3 linked regions of the Arabidopsis thaliana genome follow. The protein of the gene in region 1 binds, or shares a complex with, the protein of each later gene. Each region holds a gene or a part of one and is shown in the gene's direction. Other genes may lie near its edges.

The links. Proteins that work in one complex are often made in the same cells at the same time.
Region 2: Tic20-II (region 1) and TIC40 share a complex: the UniProt entries of both Arabidopsis thaliana proteins name them as parts of the tic complex.
Region 3: Tic20-II (region 1) and Tic22-IV share a complex: the UniProt entries of both Arabidopsis thaliana proteins name them as parts of the tic complex.

The regions. Positions count from the first base shown.
Region 1 is NC_003071.7:19,592,302-19,598,528, reverse strand, and holds Tic20-II (putative conserved protein ycf60), read left to right. Parts: upstream 1-3,527; 5' UTR 3,528-3,571; coding exon 3,572-4,198; 3' UTR 4,199-4,342; downstream 4,343-6,227. Other genes in the region: AT2G47850 (Zinc finger C-x8-C-x5-C-x3-H type family protein), read right to left, coding at 410-808, 901-1,209, 1,295-1,582, 1,658-1,777, 1,865-1,927, 2,257-2,396, 2,489-2,576; AT2G47844 (uncharacterized protein), read right to left, coding at 3,090-3,236; AT2G47830 (Cation efflux family protein), read left to right, coding at 4,556-4,897, 4,984-5,053, 5,136-5,233, 5,423-5,538, 5,768-5,883, 6,117-6,213. UniProt on the Arabidopsis thaliana protein: May be involved in protein precursor import into chloroplasts. Not redundant with TIC20-I, TIC20-IV or TIC20-V.
Region 2 is NC_003076.8:5,448,788-5,456,671, forward strand, and holds TIC40 (hydroxyproline-rich glycoprotein family protein), read left to right. Parts: upstream 1-1,832; 5' UTR 1,833-2,020; coding exon 2,021-2,216; intron 2,217-2,467; coding exon 2,468-2,585; intron 2,586-2,673; coding exon 2,674-2,731; intron 2,732-2,841; coding exon 2,842-2,859; intron 2,860-3,269; coding exon 3,270-3,579; intron 3,580-3,698; coding exon 3,699-3,805; intron 3,806-3,912; coding exon 3,913-3,976; intron 3,977-4,338; coding exon 4,339-4,423; intron 4,424-4,528; coding exon 4,529-4,569; intron 4,570-4,753; coding exon 4,754-4,799; intron 4,800-4,905; coding exon 4,906-5,000; intron 5,001-5,081; coding exon 5,082-5,185; intron 5,186-5,285; coding exon 5,286-5,333; intron 5,334-5,415; coding exon 5,416-5,469; 3' UTR 5,470-5,790; downstream 5,791-7,884. Other genes in the region: DNA repair protein Rad4 family, read left to right, coding at 6,538-6,675, 6,959-7,222, 7,311-7,403, 7,505-7,597, 7,676-7,777, 7,879-7,884. UniProt on the Arabidopsis thaliana protein: Involved in protein precursor import into chloroplasts. Part of the motor complex consisting of a co-chaperone (TIC40) and a chaperone (HSP93) associated with the import channel (TIC110).
Region 3 is NC_003075.7:16,062,343-16,068,559, reverse strand, and holds Tic22-IV (Tic22-like family protein), read left to right. Parts: upstream 1-1,662; 5' UTR 1,663-1,844; coding exon 1,845-2,210; intron 2,211-2,300; coding exon 2,301-2,363; intron 2,364-2,735; coding exon 2,736-2,810; intron 2,811-2,906; coding exon 2,907-2,957; intron 2,958-3,074; coding exon 3,075-3,134; intron 3,135-3,239; coding exon 3,240-3,302; intron 3,303-3,708; coding exon 3,709-3,744; intron 3,745-3,829; coding exon 3,830-3,922; 3' UTR 3,923-4,123; downstream 4,124-6,217. Other genes in the region: FLDH (NAD(P)-binding Rossmann-fold superfamily protein), read left to right, coding at 30-335, 431-571; AT4G33355 (Bifunctional inhibitor/lipid-transfer protein/seed storage 2S albumin superfamily protein), read right to left, coding at 992-1,001, 1,114-1,463; PGSIP3 (plant glycogenin-like starch initiation protein 3), read left to right, coding at 5,499-5,684, 5,772-6,217. UniProt on the Arabidopsis thaliana protein: Involved in protein precursor import into chloroplasts. Imported into the intermembrane space via the Toc translocon. May be involved in the import pathway used by proteins without a cleavable N-terminal pre-sequence.

The DNA.
Region 1 (6,227 bases):
ACACCAATTGGCAGACTAAAAGAAGAGGAGAATTGAGTTCTTTGTCTCAGTTTTTTTTTTTTTGTTTTTGTGTCTCAGCCGGAATGGGTCTGAAGTAGAAGTACGGACAAGACAAAGAAACCTTGTCTGTCTCTATACAAACATTATACACAAATTCCAAAAAAAAAAAGAAGAAGCCTTTTCTTGTTATCTTTTTTGGTATATGCACATATAGATTTCCTCTCAGATATATGTGATTCTCACTCAGGTCTTCTACTCAAATAGGCTTTTTCTTCTTCTCAAGGTACGAAGATTATATATATAAATTCACATCACATGCTTCTATATAATAATAGTCATATAGATTAAGAATTGCTAAAAGGTGATCCAGAGGACCTGCGTATGCGTACCCTTTTCTGAGGTGATCTATTCAAAAGGATCGACGAATTTCACGCCCTTGTCTTGTGATTCTGCTACCTGTTAGAGGAAGAGAGCTCTGGCTCGAGAGTTGCAGCTCTGAGAATGGAATTGACCCACCGCTCTGGGAGAAAATCAAACCTGCCGAGATGTTTGATGTGCTTCTTGATGTAGGCACACCGGTCATGTAAGCATCTTTTGCACCGCCTGCTATGAGCTCTGTCGATGAAGAAGAAGGGGCAGCTGCCAGAGCACCCAAGAGAGAGCTCACTGGGTAAGGAGCCACCGGTGCATCAGCTAGAGAGGACGCAGAAGGATTGTATCTGATCGTTCCCATTGGATGATCAAACTTACATGTTGATCCAAACTTACAGAAGCCGTTTTGTACGTAGAAAGTGCACCGTTGCACACCCTGTTTTCAACCCAAGATAAACAACGGATTTAGAGACAGAAATGTTATAACTATGATCAACAACCTTTATGACATATTAACACAGAGCATACCGGGCGTAGAGGAAGACCAATGGGGCTGAGGACGCAATTCGCTCTTGGTGGAACCCGATCTCGAGGATGATGAAACTTACAAGATGTTCCAAACTTACAATCTCCTGTTTTCAAATAGTATTGGCACTCTGGTTCACCAGGTCTCTCTGGAAAGGCCTGTTCTTTCTGTATAACACCTGTAGGAGAGGACAGAGATGGATAAACCCCGGGAAGCGAAGGAGTGGTGGAAGTGAGCTGTGTAACTCCATATAAAGAAGTTGCCCCAACAGCGTGCTGCGCACCAGGAGATAGAGCAGGGCTCACAGGTGCCTGAAGCAAAAGCAAAAGTGAGACAGTAAGAGACTGTGGTGAATAACAAATGTATTGATGATACATCAATAAAAAAAAAGGTCACCGAGTAAGGACTCCAGCCTGGAATAGGAACGACCCCGGGGGTTAATAGCATTGGACCATAGGCGCCTTGCATATAAGAACCAGGAAGAAGAGTTCTTGCAACTCTCAAGCTAGAAGATGGACCTCCATACTGGTCAGGCATAAGTGACTGCACCGATGGATAAAACTGAGGTGCAGATGCTGGTGGTGGTGGGACAGTAGTACCAGCAGGCTGAGGATGATGAAATTTACAGGTTATACCAAATTTGCATTGCCCCGTTTTCAAATAGTAGGAGCATTCGTTATCACCCTACAAAGAGTTTATAAAAGATCATGCAAACTCGAGACTAGCCTTTTATTTGACATGAGTGGAAACAAAGCTTACCTCTCGTACAGGGTATCCATATATATTTAGTGGAACGTGGCTCATGGATCCACCTGCATTCTTTGGATGGTGGAATTTGCATGACGCCCCAAATTTACAAGTTCCAGTTTTCAAGTAAAACTGCCAGGAAAGCAGAGATCAATAATATCACAAAAAACCTTGTTTCATCACTTGGAACATATAAAATGACTGGTCGGGGTGGGTTACCTGGCATGGGGGTTCACCAAAACGTTCAGGATACTGCCCGGTAGCTCTAACAGTTGCTTCAACCTATACATGAATCAACATGAGAAAATAGTAAACTGTGGCCAAGCTAAGATGACAAAATGATAAGCTTTTACAAGAGCATACAAAGGTATCAGTAAATACAGGGAAACACCGGGTAGAGTCAATGCATAAGACAAAAAAAAACGTGACGTAAAGCACAACAACTGAAACCAGTAAAGCTTAACAATTTCCCCAGTTTAGAGAGACTCTATAAGGCCAGTGATCACCCACATTGCGGAAAAAACAGAGAGAAGCATTTGATTGTGTCCTCCTAGTATGGATGGTTTCAGAACAATAATAAGAAAGAAGAATGAATGAGAGGAAGAAATTACCGAGGCACGATCGCGAGGGTGATTGTAACGACATCTATTACCGTAGCCACAGACACCAGTTCGCATGTAGTAGGCACAGTCAGGAGCACCTGGTCTCTCAGGGTACGAGTCGCTACCCAACCCTAATCGCCACATCGATTCTGCAAATCACAAAATTGAGCACAGTCAGGGCCATTTAGCGGAAACCCTAAAGAGACCGTACAGTTGCTGAGAATCAAAGCGCATGCGAGACCTTGGAGTCCGGTATCGGCATCTGCAGGGGTCCAGTCGGGAGCTTGAGCAGATTGTGAGCCATTGAGGGGAGGATTGCGAGCATACATGTCCTTAAATTTAGGGATTTGGTGTACAGTAAAAAAGATACTAGTAAAAACTCCTCTCACCAAACTAGAAGAAACTAATAAGAGAGTAAATGTCAAAAGCTCATCGGTGGATCGACAGAGATTTACCGGAGAAGCCGATTAGAAAAGCTCTGAGAGAGAAGAAAAAAAGAAGAAGAAGAAGAAGAGATGCTTCGACAGTGATTGAGAGGAGCTTCTTCTTTGGTCGGTCTCTCTCTCTCTCTCTCTCTTCTTTCGCTCTTCAGGAATACCGTACGGTCTGCCCTCTGCACTACTGTTTCTTTTTTTAGCTTTCAATTTCTTTTTCTCATATTCTTTTTTAAATAATAATAGTATATAGTAGTAGTTTGTATTAATTTGTTTTGTGAGATTTATTTTTGGTTCTCTCTTGGTCCTTGGGTCGCCAAGTAAAAGCATCCCAGAAAAGGGAAGATATTTCCAAGAAATATACTACTTGACAAAACAACAAACAAAAAATAAATAAACTAATTTTTACTAGTTTCCAACCAAAATGACGGTAAGGTCCTTGGGCGGGGATAGCGCGCGAGTGGCCAACATGTGACACACAGACAGTTTTCTCACTTCACTTGCTAACTCGGGGAGTAAAGTGGTCTGGTCCGAAAGTGGGGACACATCCGTCATTTCTACCTGCTACTGTTTCTTAACTGCTCTCTCAACTCGCTCTGACCGAGTCTGACTCGACTCGACTCGCCTTCAATCAATGCCATCACATTTCTTCGTTTCCGCTTCCCATTTGTCGGCGCCACAAAAACCTTCTGTTGTTCACGAAGCCCTCTAGTACCATATATAGGCCCATTTATATAGCTAAGTCGGCCCAATTATGTTGTTAGTGTGCGCGGGCCAAATTTTAGATTCGAAAACGGCAGCGTTTGAGCTGTTACTTTTTTTTGCTCTTCTTGTCAACAAATCGACACTGCCGACTAAACAGCGAAAATCCCAAACAAAAAAATAAAAGAATGGCGTCTCTGTGCCTTTCTCTCCACCAAACCCTAACTAATCCCCTGTCGGCTCCCAGATGCAGACCACTCAGCCTCTCCTTCCCCGGATCCTCAACCTTCTCGATCCGCCCCTCTAGCAGACGCGCAACCGCCTTGACGACCCGCGCCTCCTACACCCCGACGCCGGCGACTGAGCGCGTGATTTCGATAGCGTCGTACGCGCTGCCGTTCTTCAATTCTCTGCAGTACGGGCGGTTCCTGTTCGCGCAGTACCCAAGGCTGGGATTGCTGTTCGAGCCAATCTTCCCAATCCTGAACCTGTACAGATCGGTGCCGTACGCGAGCTTCGTGGCATTCTTCGGGCTGTACCTGGGAGTGGTGAGGAACACGAGTTTCAGTAGGTACGTGAGGTTCAACGCGATGCAGGCGGTGACGCTGGATGTGCTCCTGGCGGTTCCGGTGCTGCTGACCCGAATACTGGATCCGGGTCAAGGAGGCGGGTTTGGAATGAAGGCGATGATGTGGGGGCACACGGGGGTTTTCGTCTTCAGCTTTATGTGTTTTGTGTATGGAGTCGTCAGCTCCTTACTCGGCAAAACTCCATACATTCCATTTGTCGCTGATGCCGCCGGTAGACAACTCTAATTCCGGCCAATATCTACCTCACTCAGTGTTCGGGTTTTCGATTCTAGAATCGGTTATTTCTGGTTTATAAGAGAGACCAAATCAATCAGTGTTGTTAATTAACCATTACCGTTTTAAAAAAAATATTTTTTGTTATACTCCCAACATTTGATTTGGCCCAATATGAAAGAACAGTATGGGGGGCCTTTAATGAAGCTATCATTGACTGAGTATAATTTTACAATCGTCGGTGAAAAGGTAACTAAGTAAACGGTAAAAAAATGAGCGCCGTCTATCTTACCGCGCAATGAATGAGAAGTCAATTTGGGAAACTGATCGGAGAAAAGAGGGAGAGAGGGTTTCTCAGCTGAAATCAAAATGGGTATTATCAGATTTCAAATCCTGAATCCGACGAGGATTTGTAGGTCTACTATATATTATATGTCTTGCCGTTATCTGCCATCATCATCATCATCATCATCACCACTCCGAGTATCTTCTTCTTCATCGCAAAAACCTAGTTTCGATTTCTCCAGAAGGTGGCATTTTGGTCACCCTGATCATCACCAGCAATATCAAAAGCCTGGAGAAGAAGGGGAGAAGATATTCCGGCTAGGTCTCACCGCAGATATAGGTTTATCTGTCGCAAAAGCTCTCACCGGTTATCTCTGCGGCAGCACCGCCATTATCGCCGATGCTGCTCATTCCGTTTCCGATGTGGTAATGAAAATTCTCATTTGCTGAGGACGAGAGATGATCCTTCCTTTGGTTTTGTTTCTCACATGATCATCATCATTATATCTCAGGTTCTAAGTGGTGTTGCTCTAGTGTCTTACAGAGCTGCAAATGTTCCCAAGGACAAAGAACATCCTTATGGTTACCTTTTCTCTTCTCTTTCCTTTGATGTAAATACATTATAATAACAATGAACTGAATTTCCCCATGCATACAAGGGCAGGTCATGGTAAATTTGAAACGCTTGGAGCACTTGGCATCTCTGCCATGCTTTTGGCTACTGGCTCTGGTATTGCCTGGCATGCTTTAGACCTTTTATCTGTATGACCACCACTCTCTCCTTTCTCTTTCTTTTTTAATTACTCATCTCCACCTCCACAACCTTGCTTCATTGTATGAGAATATATTGCACTTCATGTTTATCTTTTATCGATCCTCCATTGTTTGTTTTATTTGGGATATAATAAATTCAATTTACAGAGTTCTTCTCCCTTCCTTTCTCATTTGCAGATTGCACTGTCCGCAGCTCCTGAGGTAATTCATAGTGGACATCATCACGGCATTGATATGAATCATCCCATTCTCGCTTTGACTGTTACTATTGCTTCCATTTCTATCAAAGAAGGGTACAAACATCACTTTATTTATCACTCTTTTCAATCCAATCAAGTTTATCATACCCCATTGCTTTACGTCTACAGCTTTTGCTCTACCGTCGCTTCTTACTAGACAATTGCAAATTTTCACTTTAGTTAGACTTGCTTCTCAGAACCTACCGCCCCTTTTCTTTTGATCCTTCATCCCTATTCTCTTCACTTATTTTGATCCTTCATCCCTGAATCTTATGTTTCTCAGGCTTTATTGGATCACAAAACGAGCAGGTGAAAAACAAGGGAGTGGTTTGATGATGGCAAATGCTTGGCATCATCGATCAGATGCTATTTCTTCTCTAGTTGCACTTGTTGGAGTTGGTAAGCTTTTCTTTCCAATCAGTACATATGTAAATCAACTATATCCTTTGTTTCAATATCCCAGACCTGGTCACGCATATGGCTACTACTAAAGAACTGGAGACAATGTAGATCTCTGAATTCCATTTATTTACTTTTACCAAGTCTCTCTCATCGGTCCAGCTATTGTACGGAACTACTGATAAAGGGAGACATGAAGTTCTCATAAATCGTGAAATATGACTTGTGTGCAGGAGGTTCTATTCTCGGAGTTAATTTTTTAGATCCTCTAGCTGGCCTTGTTGTCTCGACAATGATTGTCAATGCCGGACTGAAAACAGGACACCAAAGGTACTCACGCTATA
Region 2 (7,884 bases), on another chromosome or scaffold:
ATCTTATGTTTGGATATTTTAGATCTTCGAATTTCTATGATAAAGTGTTAACCTTTTCTCAAATAAAGGTTTTGTGAAAATTTGCTTTTTGATGCTGCTCTATGATGATTCTTTTTGCTTTAACCACACTGAAAAGATGGGGTTGAGAATGTGATTTTGCTCTTCTTGATTCAAACCAGAGAAAGATTAGATTTGATCTCGGAGTTTCTTGATGACACTTTGATCTAAGTTGCTTGAAGGGGATTCTTTTTCTCCTTTGTGGTTTAGATTAAGGTAGAGAGTAATGTCGAGCTCTTATCAACATTTTTCATGGTTTGAGGCTTGAAGAACATTCACGTTTTTCAAGCTCACTCATGTGGACAACCTTGGCCCTTGTCTGAGAAGCAGCTTTTTCTCATATTCAGTTTTTCTAAATTTGTTGTTTTAAAAAAAAAAATTGGTTTGTTTTTTTGGCTGTTCTATGATGATTATATTGCTTTAACCACACTGAAAAGATGGGCTTGAGAATGTGATGTGGTTCTTCTTGATTTAATCCAAAGAAAGAGTTCTTGAGCTATATGTATTGCTTGATGACACTTTGATCTAAAATACTTGAAGGGGATTTGTTTCCCTTTGTGTTTTAGATCAAGGAAGAGATCAGTGTAGAGCTCTTGTTCGATATTTTTCTTAGTTTAAATCTTGAAGAACATTATCATTTTCTCAAGCACTCATATGTGGAATCATTGTGCCCTTTGTCTGAGAAGCAGCTATGAATTCTGTTTTTGTCTTCGATATTGTTAAACGTAGCTGATTTGTAAGATTACTTTGTGATCTTTTTTGGATGCTTGATATGTATCCAACCAAGAGTGGGTTTCTTCTTACAAAGATATTGAGTTAGGAATTTTAATGTCATTTTATGTTCGAATTGGGGAAAATTCACAAAAAATTGGGAAAATAGAAGAGAGCATTATTCGATGTTTACCACATGGTGGAATAATTTGACAGAACAATGTACTTTGGGAATGACATATGGAACAAACTGTGTAAACCAATTTGATGATGAAGGTGAACGAGTTACATATAGGAGACTTACACTTCCATAATAATATTCAGAAACTATATGAAAGTGTATCTTTCTTTATTACTAAAACTCTTTTCTAATAAGAAATGTGTAAACTATGTAACTCGGCAACGGTTCCAGACTCTCTAATCCTAAATCAATGTTAAAGGCGTAAGGCTCTTGAACCTGTTCATTGTGAGCTTTGAACTAAGTATTCAATTTTTTGGACAATCCGAAAAACACAACAGTATAACTACAAATGGATTAGTCCCATTTGGGCGTAGTCTCATTCGTTTGGACGAGAAACACAACGAAAAACCTAGCCAATTTTGTTGTTCTCATGTATGGGCTTAATTGGGGACTAATCCATCTGTGGTTCCCCTTGTTTCCATAGTTCGTAATTTTATTCGTTTTTCGTCTTAAGTTTTCCCTTCTTTAGGTTTAGTTTCCGGAGATATTTTTGTTTTCCGCCGGCTTTGTGTTTCAAATTTGTATTCCACCCTTTGTATTTCACAACCTATAATACAATGGAAAAATTCTGGATGAAAAAAAGAAAAAGAACACAGTATATAGAAAAATCTGAATCACAGTACTAACATCATTGATTTTCTGCTACAAAAATGAGTGTACACTGATTCTTAAAATAGATACGGGCTATAACATAACAAAAAGAAAAAGTGGGGGATGGCTTTTGCAATAATCTCGAAAGAGTTTCTCACTCACATCACACCCTTGGTTTATAAATAAAACTCATTGATCTTGACGGTGAAAATATCGCCACCTGTTAATTTGTAAAAAGGTTTCAGTACACTTAGCTACACTGGATCCAAGTCTAGTGCTAAACTCAAACCTCGTGGTTTTAGACCAAAATCTCTTCTTCTTCGTTTCCTTCTTCCTCATCATATCTTTCATCTTCTCCACCAGAATTTGTTTTAGGCTCTCCTTCTTCTGTTTCTTTTTCTCCCAAAGAAACAATTAGATATGGAGAACCTTACCCTAGTTTCTTGCTCAGCTTCTTCTCCAAAGCTGTTAATTGGATGCAATTTCACTTCCTCGCTGAAAAACCCTACTGGGTTTTCTCGTCGGACTCCTAATATTGTCCTCCGGTGTTCCAAAATATCTGCCTCTGCTCAATCTCAATCTCCCTCTTCGCGTCCGGAGAACACTGGAGAAATCGGTTAGTTTGCAAATTCCACTCGACACTCTATTATAGCAAATGCCAAAATTTTCCGGAAAAATTTCCAGTTTATTACTTTTATCTATCTTATTGAAACTCAAATTGCGAACCCTTTTCGACTGGTTTAATATGAGCTTATGAATTGCTATATCTCTTAAAAAAATCCACACTTTGTGAATTTGCAATTTGAATTCTTGTAGAAACCATTCATTGTTAGAATTGTTTACTTTAAGTTTATGTTCGATTTGCAGTGGTTGTGAAACAGAGAAGCAAAGCTTTTGCAAGTATATTTTCTTCGAGTCGTGATCAACAGACAACTTCTGTTGCTTCCCCTAGTGTGCCTGTGCCACCACCATCTTCATCAACCATGTAATTTTCCTGGTTTTGGACAATGTGCTTAGTTTGTATGTCGTTTGATTCTTGGTTATTAAATTGTGTTTTTTCTTTTTTCTTGTAGAGGATCACCACTTTTCTGGATTGGTGTTGGTGTTGGTCTATCAGCTTTGTTCTCATATGTGAGTATCAAGATTCCTTCCTAATTTTTTTTTCCTCTATAAATATTCTTTCTTGCTTCAATATTGATTAATAAGTGCTTGACCTTTTTTCTTTTCTGATGGCATTGCAGGTAACTTCAAATTTAAAGGTACAGATACTTGGCCCTCTGGTTTTACGGGACTTTTGTTCTCTAGTCTGTTGCAGAACCACGATTTTATGCTTCATGTCAACTCTAGTGTATTGTGCTCATGTATCTGAGATAGTTTTATTCACTAAACTGGTTATCTTAACAAGGTGAACTGTTTGCTCACACTTGTTGAACCGTTTATATAAGCATCGAACTTTTGCCTCTCTTTTTTTGGGTAGTCACTTGATTCGTAGATGGTAACCTACATACCATTATGGTTTTAGTGATGCAACTCAGGTATTCAGACTTATAGTCATTTTCGCAACTCCAGTATTTGATTGAAATATATTATACAAGTTGTCATTGCTTTCTCTCATTATTCTCTAACCGGCTGTTACTCTCTTTGGATTTTTTTTTTTGCTTTGGTTTAGAAATATGCAATGCAAACAGCTATGAAGACGATGATGAACCAAATGAATACGCAAAATAGCCAGTTTAATAATTCTGGATTCCCATCAGGATCACCTTTTCCGTTTCCATTTCCTCCTCAAACAAGTCCTGCTTCCTCGCCATTCCAATCTCAATCCCAGTCTTCAGGTGCTACCGTTGATGTGACAGCGACAAAAGTAGAGACACCTCCTTCAACTAAACCGAAACCTACACCTGCAAAGGATATAGAGGTGGATAAGCCAAGTGTTGTCTTAGAGGCAAGCAAAGAGAAGAAAGAAGAAAAGAACTATGGTAGATTCTTTTTCTGTTTCAGAAATCAACGTCTTTTCATTTGTATTCTCAATTTTGACTTTCTTCCTTTCTCATTTTCCAAGCTTCTAACTTGGAAGCTGATTTACTTTTGGATGCAGCCTTTGAAGACATTTCACCCGAGGAAACCACAAAAGAAAGCCCATTTAGCAACTATGCAGAAGTCTCTGAAACTAATTCCCCCAAAGAAACTCGCTTGTTTGAGGATGTAAGTTTCGTTTTCTTTTGTATTTCCACAGCACACCAAGTGGTGATTTAAAAACGTGACATAGTTTTGCTAACCTTCTATGCTCTCTTATTGATCTCTGGGTGAAGGTCTTGCAAAATGGAGCTGGTCCGGCAAATGGTGCCACTGCTTCAGAGGTTTTTCAATCTTTGGGTGAGTTATTGAATTTCAGTTTTCATCACTATCAGCGCACTGTGCATGATTCATGATTAAGGCTACGGATTTCAATTTTATTTTATAGCATATGCCAACAATTATAAACAAAGGAAGATATGAAATTGGTGATAAAGAGGAATGAGTTGGCTTCAAAAGGATCTACTCCGTTACTTTTGTCCTTCTGCTAGTCGTTGATCTGTATTGGTATAACCATATAAGACTTGCAGGATATTACCTTGGCAATCTGTTTCATATCTCATGTGTTATGATTCTTTTTTCTTATATGCTCACGTTATTGTCTCTCTTTTCCTTATTCTAAATTTAAAACTGAATCCTGAGTCTGTCTATTGTTTACACAGGTGGTGGGAAAGGAGGGCCGGGTTTATCTGTAGAAGCTTTAGAGAAAATGATGGAAGATCCAACAGTCCAGAAGATGGTTTACCCGTAACTCATCTTCCCTAGCACATTGTCTTTAAATGCATCCATTAAGTTTATCTTTAAAACTGGTTGCTTAGTGGACATTTGGTAACATTGCATGTATAAATGCAGATACTTGCCTGAGGAGATGAGGAACCCAGAAACTTTCAAATGTAAGTCTTTTAATATTTAATCCTGCTATCATTCTTTTATTAGTCCTCATTTTTACATATTTCTAAAGACTAAAGGTTACATGACTAGCTTTTGAATGATGTAATTCGTTTATAGGTTGATCCAATGGTTATCTAAATTTAAAATACAGTTTGGTACTTATTGTCTCCGCTTGGAATTTTGTAGGGATGCTTAAAAATCCTCAGTACCGTCAACAACTACAGGACATGTTGTAAGAGCTCCATTTTACGAACAATTTAGTTGTTTCCATTGCTTTTAAGAATGTCTAAACTATGTAATTAAGAAATACTCTTGTTTGTTTCTTTTCATGAATTTAGGAATAATATGAGTGGGAGTGGTGAATGGGACAAGCGAATGACAGATACATTGAAGAATTTTGACCTGAATAGTCCTGAAGTGAAGCAACAATTCAGTAAGACAAATCTCAGTTTGTACCAAGTTAATAGTACGTTAAATAGGTCTGATACTCAATGATTGAATCTGTATTTGTCAGATCAAATAGGACTAACTCCAGAAGAAGTCATATCTAAGATCATGGAGAACCCTGATGTTGCCATGGCATTCCAGAATCCTAGAGTCCAAGCAGCGTTAATGGAAGTACGTTTTCTTTTAACCTGAATAAGAGAATTGCTTAATTTTACCCCACTTCTTTCTTCATACAAAACAGAAACCAATTACATTCTTGTTGTTGTTGCAGTGCTCAGAGAACCCAATGAACATCATGAAGTACCAAAACGACAAAGAGGTAATAATACTGCCACTTCTCCATTGCCCAAAAAGGCGATTACTTTTTTAAGAAATTTGAGGTTATTATACATTGATTGCAGGTAATGGATGTGTTCAACAAGATATCGCAGCTCTTCCCAGGAATGACGGGTTGAAAAAGCTCACGTCTTTGGTTCTATCAAAAATGTCACATTGTCTTTAGCTTTTTGTAGGGAGAAAAAAATGTTTTTTTTTTTGCAAAGAGTCTTCAGTTTTGGTCAGATCAGAGAATTGTGTACCATGTTAATCTTAAACGCGGTCGGGAATTGGAGTCGTGTGAAAACGCCGCTGCTGTTGTTTGGTATGAATATTATACAATAGAATTTGTTGTCTTACCAAAAAAAGTCTATGAAGACACTGAAGAGCAAATTATTATTTTTAAGGGAAAATTTCCAAAATAAACTTCATGTATTCAAAATTTGCTTGAAAAAACCTCAATTTTTTTTGTTTGAGATTGTGTGAATAAATCTGCCAATATTTTGTTTTAGCAATTTAAAAAATTGAAGTTTTTTTCTCGCAAATTTTAAATAGTTGTGATTTATTTTGGAATTTTACCTTATTTTTAATATCCAAAAGGAGAAGTGACGTGGCGATATCGAAGCGGTTTAATGAAGTGATGGCCCCATCTTAAAGAAATCAATGACCCTTATCGTTCCACTTCTATCGGAGTCGGAGTTTTTTTTTGTTGTTGTTGTATTCCGTACGTCGGTCGTTGTCGGGAGAATTGGCGCGTGAAATCCTTGGCTCCGTCGAATACGTCTGCCTCCGACGGCTGTGAGTCGCATGATTGAGTCGTGGGTAAGTATCCTTGTGACTTCAAATTTGTATTTCCGTTCTTTATAATCCCCTGACTCTTGAGAAAATCGAGGAGAAAAAACCATCCTTGCTTGGTATTCATTTGAAGAGTGTTTTAGTTATAAAATCGTAATGTTTGACGGTATGTGATATTCTGTGAGCATGATTATTCAGAAAGCTTTTGTCTTTTTAGTAAATATTGTCTCTTTCTTAGTCTTAGGTAATGTAACCTCAAGAACTCTATGCGAGAACATTACACATTATCTTTGGAATTGGATATTATATTGTTAAAGTTTAATCATTGATGAAAGTTGCAAAGAGTTATGATGACTCCGTTTTGGGATTGTCTTACCGTTGTCTTTCTGGTTTTAATGCTTAGGTTTCTCTTGATGAAGTCTAGAAGTGAAAGTAAGAATTGTAGGCTTGCACAAGCCTCTAGAGTAGCAGTCAACAAAGTTCTAGACAAAAGCAGCGCCCGTGGCTCTCGAGGCAAGAAGAAGCAAGATGATAACTGTGATTCCGCTAAGGTTTGTTCTTCTATTCATGCAAACAACATTATTGTTATAATGATTTCACTATGTTTACCAGGGTACTTAAGATGTTAGAAGCAACGAATTCTATTGATTGTTTTCAAGGTTTCCTTGAAGATTGTGAAGTCCGTGGTACTACTAACCAATTATCAATGGCTGTTAAAAATAGTTTCCTTGTCCTATGCCTAAAGATTTTCTTGGGACAGTGGAGATTTTTGTCTTATCTAGTCCTATGTTGTCCGGGAGTGTAAAATTATTTAATACTCTTCTATCATTGCAGCGGGATAAAGGCGTAAACGGTAAGGGAAAGCAAGCGCTCGACGCAAGATTGATTGATAACGTTCTAGAGGACAGGGGATGTGGTAATGTTGATGATGATGAAATGAATGATTCAGACTGGGAAGACTGTCCAATCCCTAGTCTTGATAGTACGGTTGATGATAATAATGTTGATGACACCAGAGAGCTAACCATAGAATTTGATGATGATGTTCCTGATGCTAAGAAGCAGAAGAATGCATACCGTGCAACAGCAGAAGACAAGGTATACTGTGCTTAGGAAACACAATATGCTTACTTTTGTTTATTCTTTAAAATGTGGTTGCTTTAGAGATTTGTGCTTTGTCTCAAAGGTACGGGCGGAACTTGTCCATAAGGTGCACTTGCTCTGTCTGCTTGCAAGAGGGAGGATAGTTGACAGTGCTTGTAATGATCCCTTGATTCAGGTGAATAAATTGAATACAACAGTGTTAGCAGTTGCTTCAAAGTTAAATTTTTCATATTGCAACCTGCGATATAAAGTTTAGTTTTTACATTTAACGTGCAGGCTGCCTTGCTTTCACTTCTACCATCATACTTGACAAAAGTATCAAATCTCGAGAAAGTTACTGTCAAGGATATAGCCCCTCTTCTTCGTTGGGTATGGATTTACTGGCATGTAGCTTTTGTTTTGTTCTAATGGAAAGGTTAAACAAATGTTCCCTGGTTTAAATTGTAGGTTCGTGAAAACTTTTCTGTTAGTTGTTCTCCCAGTTCTGAGAAATCTTTTCGTACATCCCTAGCATTTGCTCTTGAATCTCGTAAAGGCACAGCGGAAGAGGTAAGCTTGGGATCAGATTTATGCCATTGAACCTTTTCATTATATGGTTACTTGTATTGTTGAAACCTCTGTTTACGAAACTTATGGAAACATTTTTGCAGCTTGCA
Region 3 (6,217 bases), on another chromosome or scaffold:
TTGATTATCACATGATGTTGTTCTTCTAGTTGATCGAGCGCTTTAACGGGAGGTTGCCTGGATATATTGGCTCTGGGACGGATAGATACTCCTTCAGCCATGTTGATGATGTTGTGGAGGGTCATGTTGCTGCAATGGAAAAAGGTAGGCTTGGTGAAAGATACTTACTCACTGGGGAAAATGCTTCTTTCAAGCTTGTCTTTGACATGGCTGCACTGATTACTGGAACCAAAAAGCCAAACTTTAGCATTCCATTATGGGCCATCAACGCATACGGATGGTTATCTGTTTTAATCTCTCGGGTTACAGGAAAGCTTCCACTTATCAGTCCTCCGGTGAGTTTCAATTGCATTCATTAGTTGCCCACATATTATAGATTATCTTATTAGGTATAGAATAATCTCAACTCTTAGTATTTTGTGATGAACAGACAGTGACAGTGCTGAGACATCAGTGGTCATACTCTTGTGATAAGGCTAAGCTGGAACTTGGTTATAACCCTCGAAGCCTAAAGGAAGGATTGGAGGAGATGCTCCCTTGGTTGAAGAGTCTGGGCGTCATTCACTACTGAAATTCAAATTTCCCATCTTTCAGGTATTTCGAAGAATAATATTCCCTTGAATTCAGTCACTATGATGAGTGATGACTACATTTTTACTTCTCCCGTTACACTTTTAACCCAATCGATTTTTATCTTGTTACAAAACTGCTTCGTTTTGATCGTGTATGTCAAATAAATGTGAAACATTGTGTGCAAATGCTGATGATCATATTTTAAGATGTTGAGCTACGTGTGAGAGTAGGAAAGAGGGAATATGTAAATGTGGGAAATAATCACATTTTATCTGCCAAGAACTATATGATTACATCTATAACATATATGATCAGAAGATAAATACTAAGTATCCATATAATTTGTTCATGATGGTTTTGATCTTTTAGGATATCCACTTTATTGTAGCTGCATGGCCGTTGGTAGTCAATCTTCTTTTCAGTTTATGCTGTTCAGTGTTCACAAAACAAATTAAATAGGTCAATTAGAGGATTATGTAGTTAGAAGCTCTCACAACTACACATGTTTCGGCAATATTAAAAAGAAACTGCAGTAGCTACCTGTTACAGTCCACAGTCTTAGAGAAAGGGACTCCTATATTAACACCACATTTAGCAGGGAGTTGTTTGGCAAAATCATCATTAATTCCAGGGATTGTATTAGCTACACTCTTCAAGCAATTACAAGCTACTTGTCTATCGGCTTTCTCAGGCGCTGCGGCTTTTAGACTATTAAGTCCGTTGCAGCACATTGGAGACGGATTTCCTCCAGCTTTTAGATAAGGCAAACATTGTGCTAAGTACATGTTTACCTGCGGACATGCTATGGCTTCTCCATGATACGCAATCCCCAATAAAATCGTAATCACAAGTAGTAACATTTTTCGGGTTGTAGTAGTAATGTTCCTCATATTTTTCAGTTAACGAGAGTTTTAACAATTTTGTTTTCTTTAGTGTGTTGTTTGCTTGATCTAGTAAGTATTTTATAAGGAGGAGAAATTTGGAGGAAAAAAATGTCATCGACATGAATTTTGAGTGACAAAAGCTTTTTGTAAGTCATGTCATGTGTTTAGAATGGTGTGGAAGTTGAGTTTAGAAAGTTAATAAATGCTTTGTCACCAAACTTTTGATCAAGGGCCATATTAAACGTAAACTAAAACCAATCAAGTCCAATAAAGCCCAAATAAAAAAGCCCAAACGAATTGCTCTGAAGCCTTTTTCTTCACTCTCTTCATAGTATCAAAAATTGCTTCTTCTTCTTCTACTTCTTTCTTCTCTCTGCAAATCCAAAAATGGAGTCATCAGTGAAACCCAATCCTTTCCTCTCCTTCTCTTCTTTCATTCACCACCAGTGTACCCGCTTCAGCTCCGACCTCTCCGCCCGAATCGAAGACACGAAACGATTCGCCGAAACCCTAGCTACTCGACGTTTCTCTCTTCCTACTCCGCCGCCTTTCGCCTCCGTCTCACAATCCAAGTCTGGAACCCCGACGACGACGTTGAGTCCATCTCTTGTCGCTAAAGCTCTCGCTGGGACGTCGGTGTTTACAGTCAGTAACACCAATAACGAATTCGTTCTTATCTCGGATCCTACCGGAGGCAAGTCTATCGGTTTGCTCTGTTTTCGACAAGAGGATGCTGAAGCTTTTCTTGCTCAGGTTTCGCTTTTTGTTGTATTTTTCTCCTCCGAACTTTTTTAAAAAAATGTGAAGTTTCTGAGCTCATAATTCTCTAATATACTCCTTTAGGCGCGACTTCGGAGAAGAGAATTGAAAACCAATGCGAAGGTTGTTCCCATTACTCTGGACCAGGTAGTTCCCTTTCCTTATGATCACTGCATTAGATCAATGTGGAAGAAGCCATTGGTTAAATCAAATGAAACAAACAAATTTCAGGAGCTCAAATTCTAAGTAGACTTGTTCATGTCTGGCCTCATTTTAGTTGTTTATATTATACGGTAATAGGAACACCTGTTGGCAGTTTGAATGAACGGGAGATTGTGTTCTTGTGCACGTAGCAATGTTGACAACATCGTCACAAGAAAGAATGCAACGATGGCATGATTATAATCCCTCTAATGGCTTGGAACTTATAAGTTATAACTACGTTTAGGGAACTTTTTGATGTTATTTGCGTAATCGTGGTAGCTACATTCCCAGAAGTTAAGATGATGTTGTTTACAGGTGTACTTGCTAAAAGTTGAAGGGATTTCCTTTCGCTTCTTGCCAGATCCAATCCAAATAAAGAATGCGTTAGAGGTTGGCTCATGCTAAACAGACTTTTAATTATATGTGTCTATAGCATTTATTTGGCATTTCAATCTTATCCATAAGCTATATTTTCTTGCGTCTCAGCTCAAATCCTCAGGAAATAAGAATGGGTTTGATGGAGTTCCGGTTTTTCAGGTAAATTGATATACTCATTTTCTGTGTTTTTCTATTATACCAATATGGATTCCTTATGTTTTGGTGTTTTTGCTTTGTTTTCTCTTGATATCTATCTGTTGTTATTGGCCTCTACAGTCTGAGCTTCTTGTTGTGAGGAAAAAAAATAGACGTTACTGCCCTGTATATTTCAGTAAGGTTGGTTAGTTTCTTCTCCCACGTTAAAGAATACTAATAGATCTCTCATAAGCCAAAACAGAGGAAGATAACTCTTACTTTCCTGTTCTGCGTGACCACTTTCAGGAAGATATAGAGAGGGAACTTTCTAAATATACGAGAGCATCAAGAGGAGATCAACAAATTATGGTAATGATTCATACCTACCTTCTATGTATTTGAATCTTCGATAGGCCACGTAAGATAGAAACAAACACCTTGATCTAAAGACATGGTTTACTAACAAGTGGGAGTAGCTAGTAGCTGTGTTGGCATCATATGTAATTTCTAGCATTTTTTGTGATTACATGTTCTGCAAACATATAACACCATGTTTTCAAAGGAACAGCGAGGGAAAGGGAAAAGTCTTAGAAAACTTTAGAAAGAGCGGAATTCAGATTGTACATGCCTTCATATATCTGAGTTAAAATGAATTCCAAGGTTTATCGTTATCAAAGTTGCATATCAGAGATCAATATATAAAGTAATTTCACAGCATTGGTTTTGTTAAGAGTTTTCTTATCTTCACCATGGAACTAATCTTTTTGTTTTGCAGGTTGGGAGTCTGGAAGATGTGTTGAGGAAAATGGAGGTACTCACGCTTCTTCTTTGTTTAAAGAAACCTTAAAGTATGAAAACCTGGTAGTCTAATAAAAATCTGAATTGAATCAATGTAGATGAGCGAGAAGAATTCAGGTTGGGAAGATGTAATATTCATTCCACCGGGAAGAAGTTATGCACAACACATGCAGGATTTGATCAAAGAGTAAAACCATAATAGACACAATGTGTGTATTTTTACTTGATAAAAAAAAAACAGCCTCTTTTGAGATTTTGCAATATTATCAATTGCCCAAAGAGCTCAACACAGTCCCAAAATTTAGTTTTCTCCTCTCCTTTTACCACTTAAACACATCATCAACATGTTACTCGTGGTTCTTACATCCAGAAAAATATATTTGGCATATACGGATACCTAAATCAAATAACATAATCTTGTTTGTTTTAAAAAGTGGAGATGTACGTTATTCATCTGTCATTAGAATGTAGTATCAGCCTAATTATTCAAAGGAGGTTGAGGCCTCTAAAATGATATGTTGGTTTAAGCTAATTATTGATCAAATTTGGTTGATATACGATTATTAAAACTAAGATGTCTTACCAATACTTATTTTCATTTTCTTTTCCTCTCATCATAATCGCTTTGACATCTCAGCTTAATGATAATGTGATTATTTTCATCCTTACTAATTGTTACTGCCTTAAAAAAAACAAGTTGAAGTAAGAAAAAGAAAAGGAGATGAGATTGTTTCAAAAGCATTGATCCTTTCCTGAAGCGTAAGTAAGCGATGTTGACAGCAGAACTAAACTTGTTGCTTGCTTGACTTCCTCCGTCGTCGCATATTGCACCTACTAACATTTTTTCTCTTCTTTATTCTTCCAACCAATTGTAGCCTATGGTCTTTTGTACCAATTTTTCAAAAGTTGTAGTTGGTAGAGGTTTTGTGAACAAATCTGTAACATAATTTATTTTCTAACATAGATTGCATCGTTTTCTGATAAAGATCATCAAATTGTGGAAATATGTAGTTTTTTTTTAGTTTTTTTTTTTTGGGCGGAAATATGTAGTTTATTATCCTACTTTTGATGACATTTTCCTTTATTCAATTGAGCTGTAACTACTACTTTATTTTATTTTTGTATTGTGTTAAGTTGTTGTATAGTCTTTATCGGAGATTACATGTTCTCCGAACTTATGTAACAGCAAGCATTCACAATTTGTCTCATTATTTACCAAGATTTGTGAATAGATAAAGTGGTAACAAAAGTCAATGTCCTGGAGCACCATTAATAGTAGAACCTTCAAATGACGGTAGATAACTTTTAATGAAATCCCTTTTGGGTTTTGCATTGGATGAGATAAAGTGATATATGTAGTAAATAAAAAGGATCCCTTACAATATTGTAATTTTGGTCCCATGTTTGGAGGTGAGAGCAAATACGTATCTTAAGGCATACGTATCGCAAACTCATGTCATTATCCAACCACAATCGTTGGCGACATATCTTTGTTTAATAATAATACATCAGGCTTGTGTTTGAGTAAAGAAAATCCTTTGACACGTCCAATGTAAACTCTTTTAGACGTTTTTTTTGTCCTACTCAAAAAAACTCAACCTCTACTTAAAGTACTAATTACCATGTTTTTGTTTTTTTCTCTACCCTTCACGTGGTTCGCATACAAAGAATATTCCTACACATATTTCTCGTGAAACCTTTAAACATTTTGATTTAGGAGTGTATATATATAAGATGAAAGATAAATGTTTGTCATTCAGAAACGAGATGACGATAATGACGATGATAATGAAGATGGCTCCTTCCAAATCTGCACTGATACGCTTTAATCTAGTCTTGTTGGGTTTCTCTTTTCTTCTCTACACTGCCATTTTCTTCCACCCTTCTTCATCAGTCTATTTCAGCAGCGGAGCTTCCTTTGTTGGATGCTCTTTTCGTGATTGCACTCCCAAGGTAAGGTGAGTTTACATTTTTGTTTGCAGAGTAAATCTTATATCAAAACTTAGACTAATAGATATCTTTATACTGCTATGTGATCAGGTGGTGAGAGGAGTGAAGATGCAAGAACTCGTTGAAGAGAACGAAATAAACAAGAAAGATTTGCTAACCGCTAGTAACCAGACAAAGCTGGAGGCGCCAAGCTTCATGGAAGAGATTTTAACAAGAGGGTTAGGAAAAACAAAGATAGGGATGGTGAACATGGAAGAATGTGATCTTACTAATTGGAAACGTTATGGCGAAACGGTTCACATACATTTTGAGCGTGTCTCGAAGCTCTTCAAATGGCAAGACTTGTTCCCCGAGTGGATAGATGAAGAGGAAGAAACCGAGGTTCCCACATGTCCTGAGATACCTATGCCCGATTTCGAAAGCTTAGAGAAGTTGGATTTGGTAGTAGTGAAGTTGCCTTGTAATTACCCTGAAGAAGGGTGGAGAAGAGAGGTTTTGAGGTTGCAAGTGAACCTAGTTGCGGCTAACTTGGCAGC